Drosophila melanogaster: one gene and its partner. Each later gene encodes a partner of the first gene's protein in a complex. Each region holds a gene or a part of one and is shown in the gene's direction. Other genes may lie near its edges. The genes, in order: Rga and Not10.

The links.
Region 2: Rga (region 1) and Not10 share a complex: the UniProt entries of both Drosophila melanogaster proteins name them as parts of the CCR4-NOT complex.

What each region holds. Positions count from the first base shown.
Region 1 is NT_033777.3:5,607,096-5,614,806, reverse strand, and holds Rga (regena), read left to right. Parts: upstream 1-1,694; 5' UTR 1,695-2,737; intron 2,738-4,183; 5' UTR 4,184-4,186; coding exon 4,187-4,319; intron 4,320-4,377; coding exon 4,378-4,592; intron 4,593-4,925; coding exon 4,926-5,175; exon of another isoform or gene 5,176-5,787; coding exon 5,788-6,357; exon of another isoform or gene 6,358-6,554; intron 6,555-6,625; exon of another isoform or gene 6,626-6,649; coding exon 6,650-6,854; intron 6,855-6,920; exon of another isoform or gene 6,921-6,958; coding exon 6,959-7,123; intron 7,124-7,214; coding exon 7,215-7,434; 3' UTR 7,435-7,532; downstream 7,533-7,711. Other genes in the region: Atu (another transcription unit), read right to left, coding at 1-232, 333-1,119, 1,184-1,247, 1,315-1,345. UniProt on the Drosophila melanogaster protein: Component of the CCR4-NOT complex which is one of the major cellular mRNA deadenylases and is linked to various cellular processes including bulk mRNA degradation, miRNA-mediated repression, translational repression during translational initiation and general transcription regulation.
Region 2 is NT_033777.3:12,628,899-12,633,776, forward strand, and holds Not10 (CCR4-NOT transcription complex subunit 10), read left to right. Parts: upstream 1-1,748; 5' UTR 1,749-1,816; coding exon 1,817-1,905; intron 1,906-1,979; coding exon 1,980-2,735; intron 2,736-2,795; coding exon 2,796-3,123; intron 3,124-3,219; coding exon 3,220-3,278; intron 3,279-3,336; coding exon 3,337-3,687; intron 3,688-3,752; coding exon 3,753-4,077; 3' UTR 4,078-4,290; downstream 4,291-4,878. Other genes in the region: Snx3 (sorting nexin 3), read left to right, coding at 1-86, 324-554; CG18530 (uncharacterized protein), read left to right, coding at 4,461-4,523, 4,584-4,878. UniProt on the Drosophila melanogaster protein: Component of the CCR4-NOT complex which is one of the major cellular mRNA deadenylases and is linked to various cellular processes including bulk mRNA degradation, miRNA-mediated repression, translational repression during translational initiation and general transcription regulation.

The sequences.
Region 1 (7,711 bases):
GCTCATCCTCCTTGGGCGCCGATTCTACTTGGCTCTCGACTTTATCCCGGGATCGCGATCTGGAGCGGGAACGCGAGTGGCTCATAGAACGACTGTGGGAGTGGGACTTGCTTTGACTGCGGCTCTTGGAGCGCACTGGGGATTTTCTGGCAGCTGGTCCAGCCTCATCCTCATCGTCACTTATATCATCGGCATCTCCAAATATGTCAGCTGCAGCCGGAGCTTTCTTTCCCTGCATAATTGAAATGTACATATATCAGGGTAATTTTTCCTTAATTATAGAACTAGATAAATAACAATATAGTTGAGTAGTTCAGAGTGGTGTGCCTTACCACATCCTGATTGGAATCGCTATCAGTGTCGATCAGCCGTGACTTCTTAGCTTTGGTGGGCGATTCCTCAATGTCGCTATCGCTGCCGCTCTTTTTCTTCTCTTGATCGGAGCCACTCGCCTTGCGTGCCTTCTTCTTGGGCACACCCACATCGCTGCCGGAGCCGGATGCGCTGCCACTACGACTTCTATTGGGCGACGGCGTGCCCGTCTTGGAACGCGATCTGGAAGTGCGACTGCCACTCCTGCTCCTACTTCTGCTGCGACTGCCGCTCTTGGAATTGGCACGCTCTACGTCAATTTGCAGATTGGGCGAATTAGACCGCGATTCCTCGTTGCCCTTGAGTGAACCGCTATGAGACCTCGATCGAGACTCAGAGCGGTCACTTTGTGCCGAACCAGATTTGCGACTCCGAGCGGATCCCGATCTGCGACTGTGGGCCGAACCGGATCTGCGGCTGTGAGTAGATCCCGATTTGCGACTTTGGGGAGAACCAGATCTACGACTCTGAGGCGATCCTGACTTGCGACTTTGCAACGAACCTGATCTGTGACTTTGTGGAGATTCCGGAGTTCCAGATTTACGGCTACGCGCAGATCCCGACCTGCGACTGTGAGCAGATCTTGATCTCTTACTACGAGCGGAGCCAGACAGCTGCGAGTGGCGGCTTTCTGCAGACCCGGACCTGGCACTACGCGGAGACCCAGAGCCGGACCGGGATCGGGAAGACCTGGAGCCCGATCGGGAACGATCGCTGCCACTACCCGACCTGCGACTGCGTTGGGATCTGGAAAACGAGGGGAAGGTAATCAGCACTCTCCCGCCGCCGTGTTTGAATATCAAATAGTTACCCGGGCGCACTACCTCCTTGCGGCGTGACACTGCGGCTTCCACTTCGACTCGAACCGGATGAACCTACATACATATGTGAACAGTGTAAATATTAGTTACTCAGGCCTGGACTTAGCCATTAGCCACTCACCACTGTCGTCGTCCGAGTTTTGGCTGCCCATAATGCCAAGTAAATTTTGTTTAAAATCGGAAAATCTGCAATCAAGACAATTCGCGGCCGGGCAATAAAGTTGAGTTTAGGAGGTCTAGGCACTGTCACAGTAATCGATAACTGAAATACGCAAAGAGGTCTTCGCATAGACGCCCCAGATGGCAGCCCAATAACTGTTTTTGTCTATCGATTAAAAGTAAACAACTATTTTACCAATCGCAAAGGCGAATAAAATTGTTGTCTTTAAAGAAAACAATTCGAATATTCTTTGAAATATACAGTAATCAATGCACCAAACCCTCTCGTTGCAAACTAACTACTATCGATACCAACGCTGTCTCGATAGCAGATTTTTACATCCCTAATTCTTGTGTGTTTGTATTCGTGACAGCCACAAAGTTTTTTGCGGAACATTTTTTGTGTACAATTTAAAGCCATTTCGGGCGCTAAAGAATTGTTTACTGCCCCTCGATAGTGGATCGTAAGGACCCGGCTCCATTAAGTTCGAGTGCATTTGCGGGTCGGCGGCGTAAAAGACGCGCAAATCTAGCAGGGAATTTGCCCAATTCGCTGCTTCGGGTGAAATTTCAATGAACTGAGAAAACAAAGACAGACACACACACAAACACACGCACAGGGTCACAGACACAGTGCTTGTGCAGCAGTGTAGTAAGAAGCAGAGACAACAGCGCAATAGCGAGCGATTATTTACTTACAAATAAAATACAAAACGGAAACATTAACAAAAAGCGAGAGCCCTGGCCAATCCAATCGGCCGAGTGTAACGTGCGCGACATTTGCATAAGCGTGAATATAGAAACTACAGTGGTCGCAAGAGCGGCGCAGAAAAAACGGACAACTTTTAGCCTCCGCCAGGCATCAACATCCTTCGACTCTCCTCTCCTCTCTCTCTCTCTCTCGCTCGCTGTCTCTTCGGCACGAAGACCACGCTGCATACAGACGAGGCACATATACATATGCACACACGCACAGCGGTATATATGCCATTTATTTAGGGACGACTCGGCGCGGAAAAGTACTAACTAACCTCGTTCCCGCTCCTACACCCGCTACGGTTCCAGCTCCCGTTTCTCCGTTGCATCCTTTCAGCTTCCAGCGAGTGAGTGCTAGTGACCGAGACACCCACAGCTAACCAACAGCTGCCCAGTGGGAGTTAGCGGACTTTCATATTCCTGCTGATTCGCCGATCCGTGATCCGTCACAGTTACGGTTACGGCGCCAGGACAACGACTCCTACGTCCTCGTCCCGCCGGCCGCTTTGGAATGTTAAATGCGGTGAGAACGATTCGATCAGTGTATGTTGTTGTTGCTGGACAGAGTGGAAAGCGAGCGTTAACAGTGGAAGAACAAGAAGCGACAGTATCGTCTAACGTTAATTTAGGTAAGTTGCGCGCATTCCTCCTTTCGGATCCGTCGTTCTTATTTTGTACTTGCTGAATCGCCCGAGGTTAAATGGTTGGTTAAACACTTGTCCCCAGAGTTAACGCTAGCCATTGAATTTTGTTGTAAGCGCGGTCGCCAGTGTTGGGAAGCGTCTGTTAGGTCAGCTGATAAAGTTACATGCGTGCAGGTAAAACATCAATTTAATCGACAGCTCCCGTATTCCAGGAAGATTTGCTCCTTTCAAATTAAATGCACTGGCATCCTGTGCTAGTATATCTTGCATTCCAGGCGAGTTCAGCGCACGTTGAAGTTTCGATAAGATAAAGCCGGTCTTTACCATAGGAAGGGTTATTTACATATTATGGTACTAGCAAGCAGCATCAAAACCTAACTGGAGCTTTCGTAGTGAAGTAAACGAAATTCGACTAACTCGGTAGTGGTTTGGCCAGTAGTGGAGATAAGGTATAAAGCTTTGTATTTTACAATGTTAACTGTTTTTACTGTACACCTTTTGCACTGCACTGACCACTGCCTGCATAATTGATCGAGGGACAAGTTGAGGCTTATATCCTTTTGCATTGCCCCGCTCTCCACCCACTCCCTTGCACCCTGGTGGCAGTCATTCTGGTTTTCTCACCCACACCATCGCCATTGTCTTGGTCTCCATCTTATCCACACGGTCTGTGCATGAGTGTGCCCACGACAAAGAGGAACGGCAATAATTGCCACAGCCTTTCTGCCCATGCTTCTCGTTCTCCACCTCCTTGCTCTGCCTCTCAATTTGCTCTCCTTTTCTCCTTCTGCTCTGTTTGCTGTCCGAATTCGCTTCGCCAATCGACAGCTGATGCGTCGGCCATTTAACGGATTCACTTGGCGCGGGCTATTTTGTTTATAGATATACTATAGATGGTGGCCCTTTTTTGGGATCCCATTTTGCCGTTAAGATAACCTTTTCATATATATGGCTCCAGGCTGCTAACCCACAAGGTTGTTGGTTTGTTTGCTCAATACGCATATACTCGCATTTAGTGTGCGACAATTATCTGCGGGGAGCCAATTTGTTATCAATATAGTCCCCCTCCACTGAATCACACAGTTTTTATTGTAAACCCTTGTTTATGGGCGAAGAGTTTCCCTGATTCAGACATTTGACAGCAGTTCTCTGATTGCTGCGCAGATGGCTTCGAGAATTTATGTTGCGAATCATCCAGCATATTCCCAATTGCTCGTATTAACCGTAATGTTATATAACGCGTAATAATCTCCAAAATAAATATATATTAGTTTGTTTTTGCCAAAAGGAAATCCCTATACTATTACATTTAAGTGATTACTGCTTAAGTGATACTTCGATGTCGACGCGGATACGATATGGGTTTTTCTTTATGGGTAGATAAGCAAAGCAAGGCCACAGCCTAATAACCGACAACCCCTTCCATTGCAGATTATGGCGAATTTAAATTTTCAACAACCCCCGAGAAGTATAGCGAACGCGGCGTTAGCTGGCCGGACAACAGGCGGATTCGGTGGTAGCTCCCTGGCTGGCCATGTGACGCCCACGTCGGGCATGTTTCAAACCGGTAAGCACTTGTCGCCCAAAGCTTTTGACGGAGCACCAATTCACATTTGTTGCCTTAGACTTCGCCAACTCCTATCCAGGAACGGCGAACTACGGACAGGCGCCGCAGCAGCAGCAACAACAGCAGCAGCAGCCCCAACTGTCGCCGAACCGGAATGCCCAGCTGTCGGTCGGCGGACCCGCCATCTCGAGCGGCAACCGCAACGCCAACCTCTTCGGCCAGCGTCAGTTTGTGGAGCGGCGAGCCATGCAAGGATTGGGCAGTGGCCCCATGGTAAGCAGCGCGGCATTACAACAAAGTCTAACTCCTCCAACTCGGTCTTGTCCAAGATACTCAAAGTAAAACATATAACAATATCTATATCCATTGACTGTGGGTTTAGTACTTCAATACTTCGGATTGCATCAGAGAATCGTATCGCTGATCGATCAGATTTATATAAAGGAAATATTTTTGATACAACGGAATATACATTAATTTCAGAAGTTACAAATGCTTTCACATTACATAAAAAATATACCCTCTATTAAGATTGAGTTGGAGATGTCAGTCCTAATTCTAAAAATAAATTGTTAAGACTTGGCTAATCATTATCTCTTTCCGCAGTCGAACATGGGCAACTTCATGCAGACGGGTCGCGGCGGCTACGGAACGGGCGGAGGCGGTGGCGGTCCTTTGAATAACTTCCACGTGTTCGGCGGCGGCGGTGGTAGCGACACCTCCACGCCTGCCCTGCTCGATCCCACGGAGTTCCCCTCGCTGACGAATGCGCGCGGCCAGAACGACCAGACACTGCCCCAATCGAATCCGCTCCAGCCGCCGGGCAGCAAACCCTATGGTAATTTCTTTACCTCTTGTGAGTTCAAATCAAAATCCACTTCTTTTTATTTATTTTTGTTTTTAAAACTACGATTAAGAATCGGTTGTAAGCGTGGTGTCTCGTGATCAGCTCATTAAGCCCACTTAGATATGCTACGCTGTATTTGGGACTAACCTCGGGTGTTGGTTTGGGTATGGCAAACGCTGCAAAAACTAGATTCAGTCAAGGACATTTACTTTGGCTACGTTGGTCCAACCGAATACGGGCTTCTGATTCCATGAAGAGCTTTTGCAATTTAGAGTTTGAAATGAAATTGTGTTTCCGGATTATACTCCAAACATATTATTATATGCAATCTCATTTACTTTGAAACATGATCAATGAATAAAAAGAAACTGTTCACATAAAGCAAGCGACTTAACCTTTTATAAGTTCATATATAGGTGAAGGATAACTTTAAATTCACAGTAACATGTCTTAAAACCTTGAACAAATGCTGTTTGGACCTACTCATTGATTTTAATTGGTTGAGGAAAAAGAAATTAACTAAAATCGTGTGTATTGTATGAGCTTAAACTGCTTTAGTACTAATTTCTTCGCTTCACTCATTCGCCCTGGGCGACCATCTCGCTCCTCTTCTGATTTCAGTTGGCATGGTGAAGCAACCGACGTCAGAGCAATCGGAGTTCACGATGTCTAACGAGGACTTCCCTGCGTTACCGGGCACCCAAAACTCGGACGGCACAACGAACGCGGTGGGGAGCGTCGCCGGAACAGGAGGCTCCGGAGGTGCGTCCACAGAGAACCACTTGGACGGCACGGAAAAGCCGATGAATTCGATAGTGGTCAGCGGATCAGCGAGCGGCAGCAGCGGTTCCAACGTCGGCGTTGTAGGCGGCAATGGTCTCGGTGCCGTTGGCAGTGGTATAGGGGGCTTGGCAGTAGGCGGCGGCGGAGGAGCTGGTAGCTCAGGAGGCGGAGGAGTCGGCGGCAATGCAGCCAGCGGCGTTGTCGGCGGGTCCCATGTAGGACTGGTGGGCAGTAACAGCGGCATTGGCGGCGTCAACAGCGTACCCAACAGCAATGCCATGATGGGCGTAGGCGGCGGCCTGGGGAGTGGAAGCGGCTCGTCTGGGAGCGGAGCGGGCGGCGAGCATCTGAACGATAATTCCAGCAACGATAAACTTGTAAAGAGCGGCGTGCAAACTTCGCCAGATGGTGAGTGCTGGAACACTTCTCACAACATGTGAGAGAGCTATTTTTGACCTTTTGATCATTTGGAGCTTTGAATTGAACACTCTATGGATGATTGATACCATTTAATCAATGGATTTCTTGGTTTCTATTATTATTTGTTTCATATTATAATTCGGTGATTTCGGTGTACATCACAAAAGCCCAACAGCTATACTATCCTTGACCCATTTTATCCAGAAATAATAGTACCATGAAATATTTTATTTATTTAAAAATGTAACAAATTTACCTTTCGTTCGTTTTGCATAAATAGGGAAGGTCACAAACATACCAGCGACCATGGTGAACAACCAGTTCGGCATGGTTGGCCTGCTGACGTTCATTCGGGCTGCAGAAACGGATCCCAATCTGGTGACGCTCTCCTTGGGTACGGATCTCACGGGTTTAGGCCTGAACCTGAACTCGCAGGAGAGCTTGCATACAACCTTCGCTGGCCCCTTCGTAGCACAGCCCTGCAGGTCAGTTTACATAATAAACTTACATAATTTAATTGCTTATTGAGTACTATTGAGTAAGAGGTGTACCAAATTAGTAACATTGGATTTGCATTTACTTTTTTCAGAGCACAAGACGTTGAGTTCAACGTGCCACCCGAATATCTGATTAACTTTGCGATAAGAGACAAACTAACAGCGCCGGTACTGAAAAAGCTGCAAGAAGACCTGCTCTTTTTCCTTTTTTACACGAACATCGGCGATATGATGCAATTGATGGCAGCTGCTGAATTGTGAGTACTTCCTCTTGCGTAGCTATTATCTAAGCTTCGTATGAACATATATAGAACATACATATATACTAAAATTCTGCTCCCATCGCAGGCATAGTCGCGAGTGGCGATACCACGTGGAGGAGAAAATATGGATAACTCGAATTCCTGGCATTGATCAATATGAAAAAAATGGTACAAAAGAGCGCGGCACCTTCTACTACTTTGATGCGCAAAGTTGGAAACGTTTGTCCAAGGTTTTCCAAATAGATCCCGAGAAATTAGATAAATGTCCCAATATAAGTGCGTTTATGAATGGACAGTCTGTATAAAATTAATAAAAATGAAAAAAATTGAAAAAGAAAGTATGCTGTTGTTTTTGCATTGCAACAAGGACACTCAACACTAACTGAATAATAAGTTTTATTATAAAAATTAAAAACAATCCATTTGAGTTTTTCTTCTAAAACGGTGTTAGGATATATATACATACATATATGCATATGTATGTATGTGCAAATTCTGGTACAAATTGCCGGTTAACAATTTAAAGCGATTTATTTTTATCCTGCTGGAGTCTAGTTGGTATTCATATTTTTAGAATATCTT
Region 2 (4,878 bases), 7.0 Mb from region 1:
CCGTCTTTAAGGTAAAGGAGTCCAGTGTCAGGCGACGCTACAGCGACTTTGAGTGGCTGCGAAACGAGCTGGAGCGGGATAGCAAGGTACGGACAAGTGTGATCCAGGCGGTAGTCTTTCGTTTTCACTTTAATAGATTCAAAATCCGCACTATTCAGAATCTATTTAGATAGAATTACGAAACAATACATTGTAATTATAAGAAGCCACTAGAAAAGTTTCAATCCTTAAGAGGAAACTTAACCCTGAGTTTTATAAGTGAAAACGGAAACTTCGATAAGCGCCTGAAGAGTATTTAATCATGAACATACATATCCCCGCAGATTGTGGTGCCACCACTCCCAGGAAAGGCATGGAAGCGGCAGATGCCCTTCCGCGGCGACGAGGGCATCTTTGACGAAAGCTTCATCGAGGAGCGGCGCAAGGGACTGGAGGCCTTCATCAACAAGATAGCCGGACATCCGCTGGCGCAGAACGAGCGCTGCCTGCATATGTTCCTGCAGGAGAATGTCATAGATAAGAACTACGTGCCCGGCAAGATTCGGAACACATAAGCAGCTTAGTCCGGCGCAATCGAAACCCCCTAACCATAGCAATGCAATGAAGCAAAAACTCGAACGAACAAACCTGCTACGAAATCTTTATGGGAAGCCGTGTGAATGTGTGTGCTTGCCCGGATTGGAGGAGGATGGAGCAGATGAGCGATGATGTAGGTTGGTGGAGAAGGGATCTGTTATGCGACGCGATACGAGGCGGGAAGTGCTGCTGCTCAGTTAATGTTGAGCCCCTCTCAGCCCCCGGGGATTAGTTAAAAACCAGCATTGGGAATTTTTAATGCTAAATTCAAGTTTATATGGTATACATAACAATATACATACACATATATATATATTATACACAATACACATATTTACGAATAGTGTACATAAGACATGCCTACTACGCCCTCGCTAAATGAGTCTCGAAAGTAGGAGCTGCCCCTCCCATTTTCCCGATCCTCAGTTTCTTCGTTTTGAACCATTGCAGCGGTAATGAAGCAGCAAATAAAATAAGGGAGCCATCCTGACCCCAAAATCGATCCCTTGTAAGTGTATGCAAATTATTGAATATTTTGAAACAGTTTAGTGAATAATATTGTACTTCGAATCAAATTAAAATAATTCAAAAATATTGAACTGCTGATATTATTTGAATGTGCTTGAAAATGATGCGCAACTGAAGATTAAGTTGAGTTTTGTATAAAATATTAGCCTTTTTCCTAGCCAATTCTGCGGGATGGAAGTTTGTTCTTCAACTGGTCGATGTTGAATCTATGTAGTTCCCATCATATAAACCAGGCGAGGATTAATAACAATATGATGAAACAGGAAACTTCGATTGAATGCAAGGATAATTACAGTTGGGTGGGTAGGTGGATCAAAAATTGTAAACGATAAATGGATATTTTATTATTCTAAATATTATATATCATCACAAACAAAAGTCTCAGTTGAAATAAAGGTATAGGTTTCGCGCGCTGCAAATCTAGACTAGTGATGTGCTGCCACCTATCGACAGCAAAATGCCAATTTGACCATTGTAAAGTTAAAATTTTATATAGAATATATTTTAATTTGTTCATATTAACAATTTAATTTTTAATTAATAAATTAACAAGAAATTTAACAAGTTGTTTAATGTTAAGAATTAACTTATTTATTAATAAGGTTAACCGCTTTAGTTACGGTTAAAAGTGGCAACGCTGTGCTTGTTGATTCTGGCAACGCTGTGTCATCTGTGGATTGGTTCGGTTTTTTTGTTTTTATTTATTTTTGGCATGGACTCGGCGGAATCCCCCACCAAAACGCAGGCCGGCGAGGACGAGAACTACAGTCTGCTGTGCCAGGCGCACGAGCAGTTCAACAAGTGAGTGTTCATCCGCGTGTCACCGGGAAGTGCACCCATAACCGCCACTCCTTTCCGGCTGCTCCTCATTCTAGCTCGGAGTTTGATCGCTGCTTGGAACTGCTCCAGGAGTTGGAGACGCGCGGCGAGAGCAGTGGTCCTGTCCTGCGGCACAACCGGGCGGTGGTCAGCTACTACAAAACCGGGTGCACCCAACACTCCGTCCTGCTGAAAGAACTGGAGGCTCTAACCGCCGATGCAGATGCGCCCGGAGACGTGTCCAGCGGGCTGAGCCTTAAGCAGGGAGCTGCCGCCGCCACTGTTGCTCGTTACAACCGGGCGGTCATCTATTATCACCGCCATATGTTCGGCACGGCACTGGAGAAACTAGCACCACTAGTGGCTCGTCTGGAAGCCCTGGAGAAGGCAATGGCAGCGCTGGTGGCCACACTACAGCTACAGCTGCTGCTGGCCACCAATCAACTAAACCGAGCCGAGGCCTTTCTGGATTACTTGCAGTACAAGCTTAACCTGGTGGCCACAGCGCCTAGCAGCAATGCGGCCGAAGAGGCAGCTGTTGTCGGCACAGCACCTCCGTCAGCAGCGACGAACAGTTCAGTGGTGGCCTCACCAGGAGGAGCAGCTGTGGAGGGAGCTGTGCCCGGTCTGGGCGGTAGTCTGCAGCTCTTGCAGCTAATAACGCTCGTGCTTAACCGAAAACCGGTGGTTATTCAGGAAGACGGCACGCCGGAGTACGCTGCTCTGAAGGCTCAGCAGTACTACATCATGAAGGATTTTCAGATGGCCGCCAAGCAGCTTATGCGAATCAATAACGAGTGTACACAAGCGGGGTGAGTCTGCTTCATTTTAAGTTCAAAGAAGACATACTATTTTATTGTCTATCTTAATAGCACTATAACCCCCCAGCTGAGCACGTGCATTGCCAACAATATGGGAGTGATACACTTAAGAGTGCGTCACTATGCCATCGCCGCCAAGTTCTTCCAAAATGCGCTCAACTTTGACCAGCAGCTGGCGCGAAATTTGCGCCAGAGTACGCTGCAAACCATGAGTTCGGCACGGTCCTGCGAGATCCTTTACAACCTCGGTGTGGCCATGTTGCACCTACGACGCCCCAAGGAGGCGTTTCAGTGCTTTCTGGTTCCCGTTAAGCAATTCCACAGCAATCCACGTCTTTGGCTGCGCATGGCTGAGGCCTGCATCATGGAGCATGAGGCGGTAAGACAACTTTACACTAACATGTTCTAGTACAATAGAGTCACAATAGGGTATTTATTTGTCTTAAATCTCAAATTATTTTATTTTGTTTTAAAGAAACTAGTGGAGGAGGAGCGCCAGTCGCAGTCAGAAACGCCATCAACAAAGCCATACGCGTAAGTGCTAATTCGTTAGCTTAGTTCATTGCTGGTAGTAAACTTTTCCTAATTTTAGTCCTCAATCGGCGGGAGTTCCAGAGCCCACGCTGGAATTCGCTGTCTTGTGTCTACGTAGCGCGTTAACGCTTACGCAGCACTACAAGACGAGGTTTCACATGGCGGCGGTCTCCTCGGAGGATGTGGAAGCACCCGAACCCAAGGACCCAACTCAGGAGAGTTGGCGTCATCCCCAGGACAATAACTTCTGCAATCCCTCGAAGCCAGTCAGCCTAGAGTCTTTGGAAAACATGATGGCTGCCATATATGCTGCTCACAGCTTCGTCTCGCTGCGCCTAGGCGATCATGTGACCGCGCTCGAGATGTCGGAAAAACTGCTGGCCTGTGAACGCTTGTCCGATGCACACAAGTACAATACAGTTTCTATTTAATCTTCCCATGTTTGGTTTAACATATTTACCTTTTTTTCTTCAGATTGCTAGGTCACATGTACGCTGGCGAGGCGTTGATGCTTATGGACAAGGCCAGCGAGGCACGCGACCATTTGGACCCTACTTTTGTGGGCACACTAAACGCCTTCGATTTTGAGACGCGTGACTGGCAACTGAAGTCGGTGGACGCCGCTCAGAACGTTGTGCGGTATAATCTGGCCGTTGCCATGGCTCTACAGAACGACCTGCCTCAAGCTAAAGCACTCCTGGCCAATTTAACTCATTCGCTGGTTGCCAACAAGGCGCTTGCTTTGCGACGCTTCATGGACCTCAAAATGGGTCCCGTTCCTGGCGGGACGCCGAGTTAGACAACAAATTGTGTATATAACTAGACGGAATTAAAGTGCAAGAATGAAATGACGAGGAAGCGAACTATTTGTTTGACGATCATCAGTTTTTCAGCATTTTACAGGGTGCAAACAAGGTGTATAAAACAATGTCTGTTAACTAATCCATATGTGCTTATATATTTGTACACAGAGAATTGGTGTTGGCAATAGCAAATTATCTCACAATATTTTACGTTGAACTTTTGCATACTCCAGTCATTGAGACTTTTTCATAGGAATTCTACAAATTAGATTACCCTCTACGTTAAAGCGTTGGACACTTAAATTTTAAGTATCTATCTCAGGAATTTTAAAAGTTGGGTCAGAATTATTTTGACTTGTGCAAGTTACTCTTACTCGAAATGCCGTATAAAACGCTTGTCATTCTGAGTGTCTGTACTCAAATAGTCAATGGAATAACTTCTGTAAGTGCTTTTTAGTCGATAATTATAGCTATAGGCAAGTGCTACGCTCTCTTTTCCAAGGCCGAAATCATAGCCTCGCACAACTATCCGGTGGAAATTCACACAGTGGTCACACGAGATGGGTATTTACTCAACGCGTTCCGCATACCGAACTCAATCTATTGCGAGCAATCTGGAACAAAGCCGGCGGTTCTCTTCCAGCACGGAATGACCGCCTCCTCGGATGTTTTCCTAGTGAATGGACCTCGGGATGCATTGCCATTCATGTTGGCCGACGCCTGCTTTGACGTTTGGCTGAGTAACTCGCGGGGCACTCGGTATTCCCGACGCCACGTGTCTTTGGATCCCTCCGATG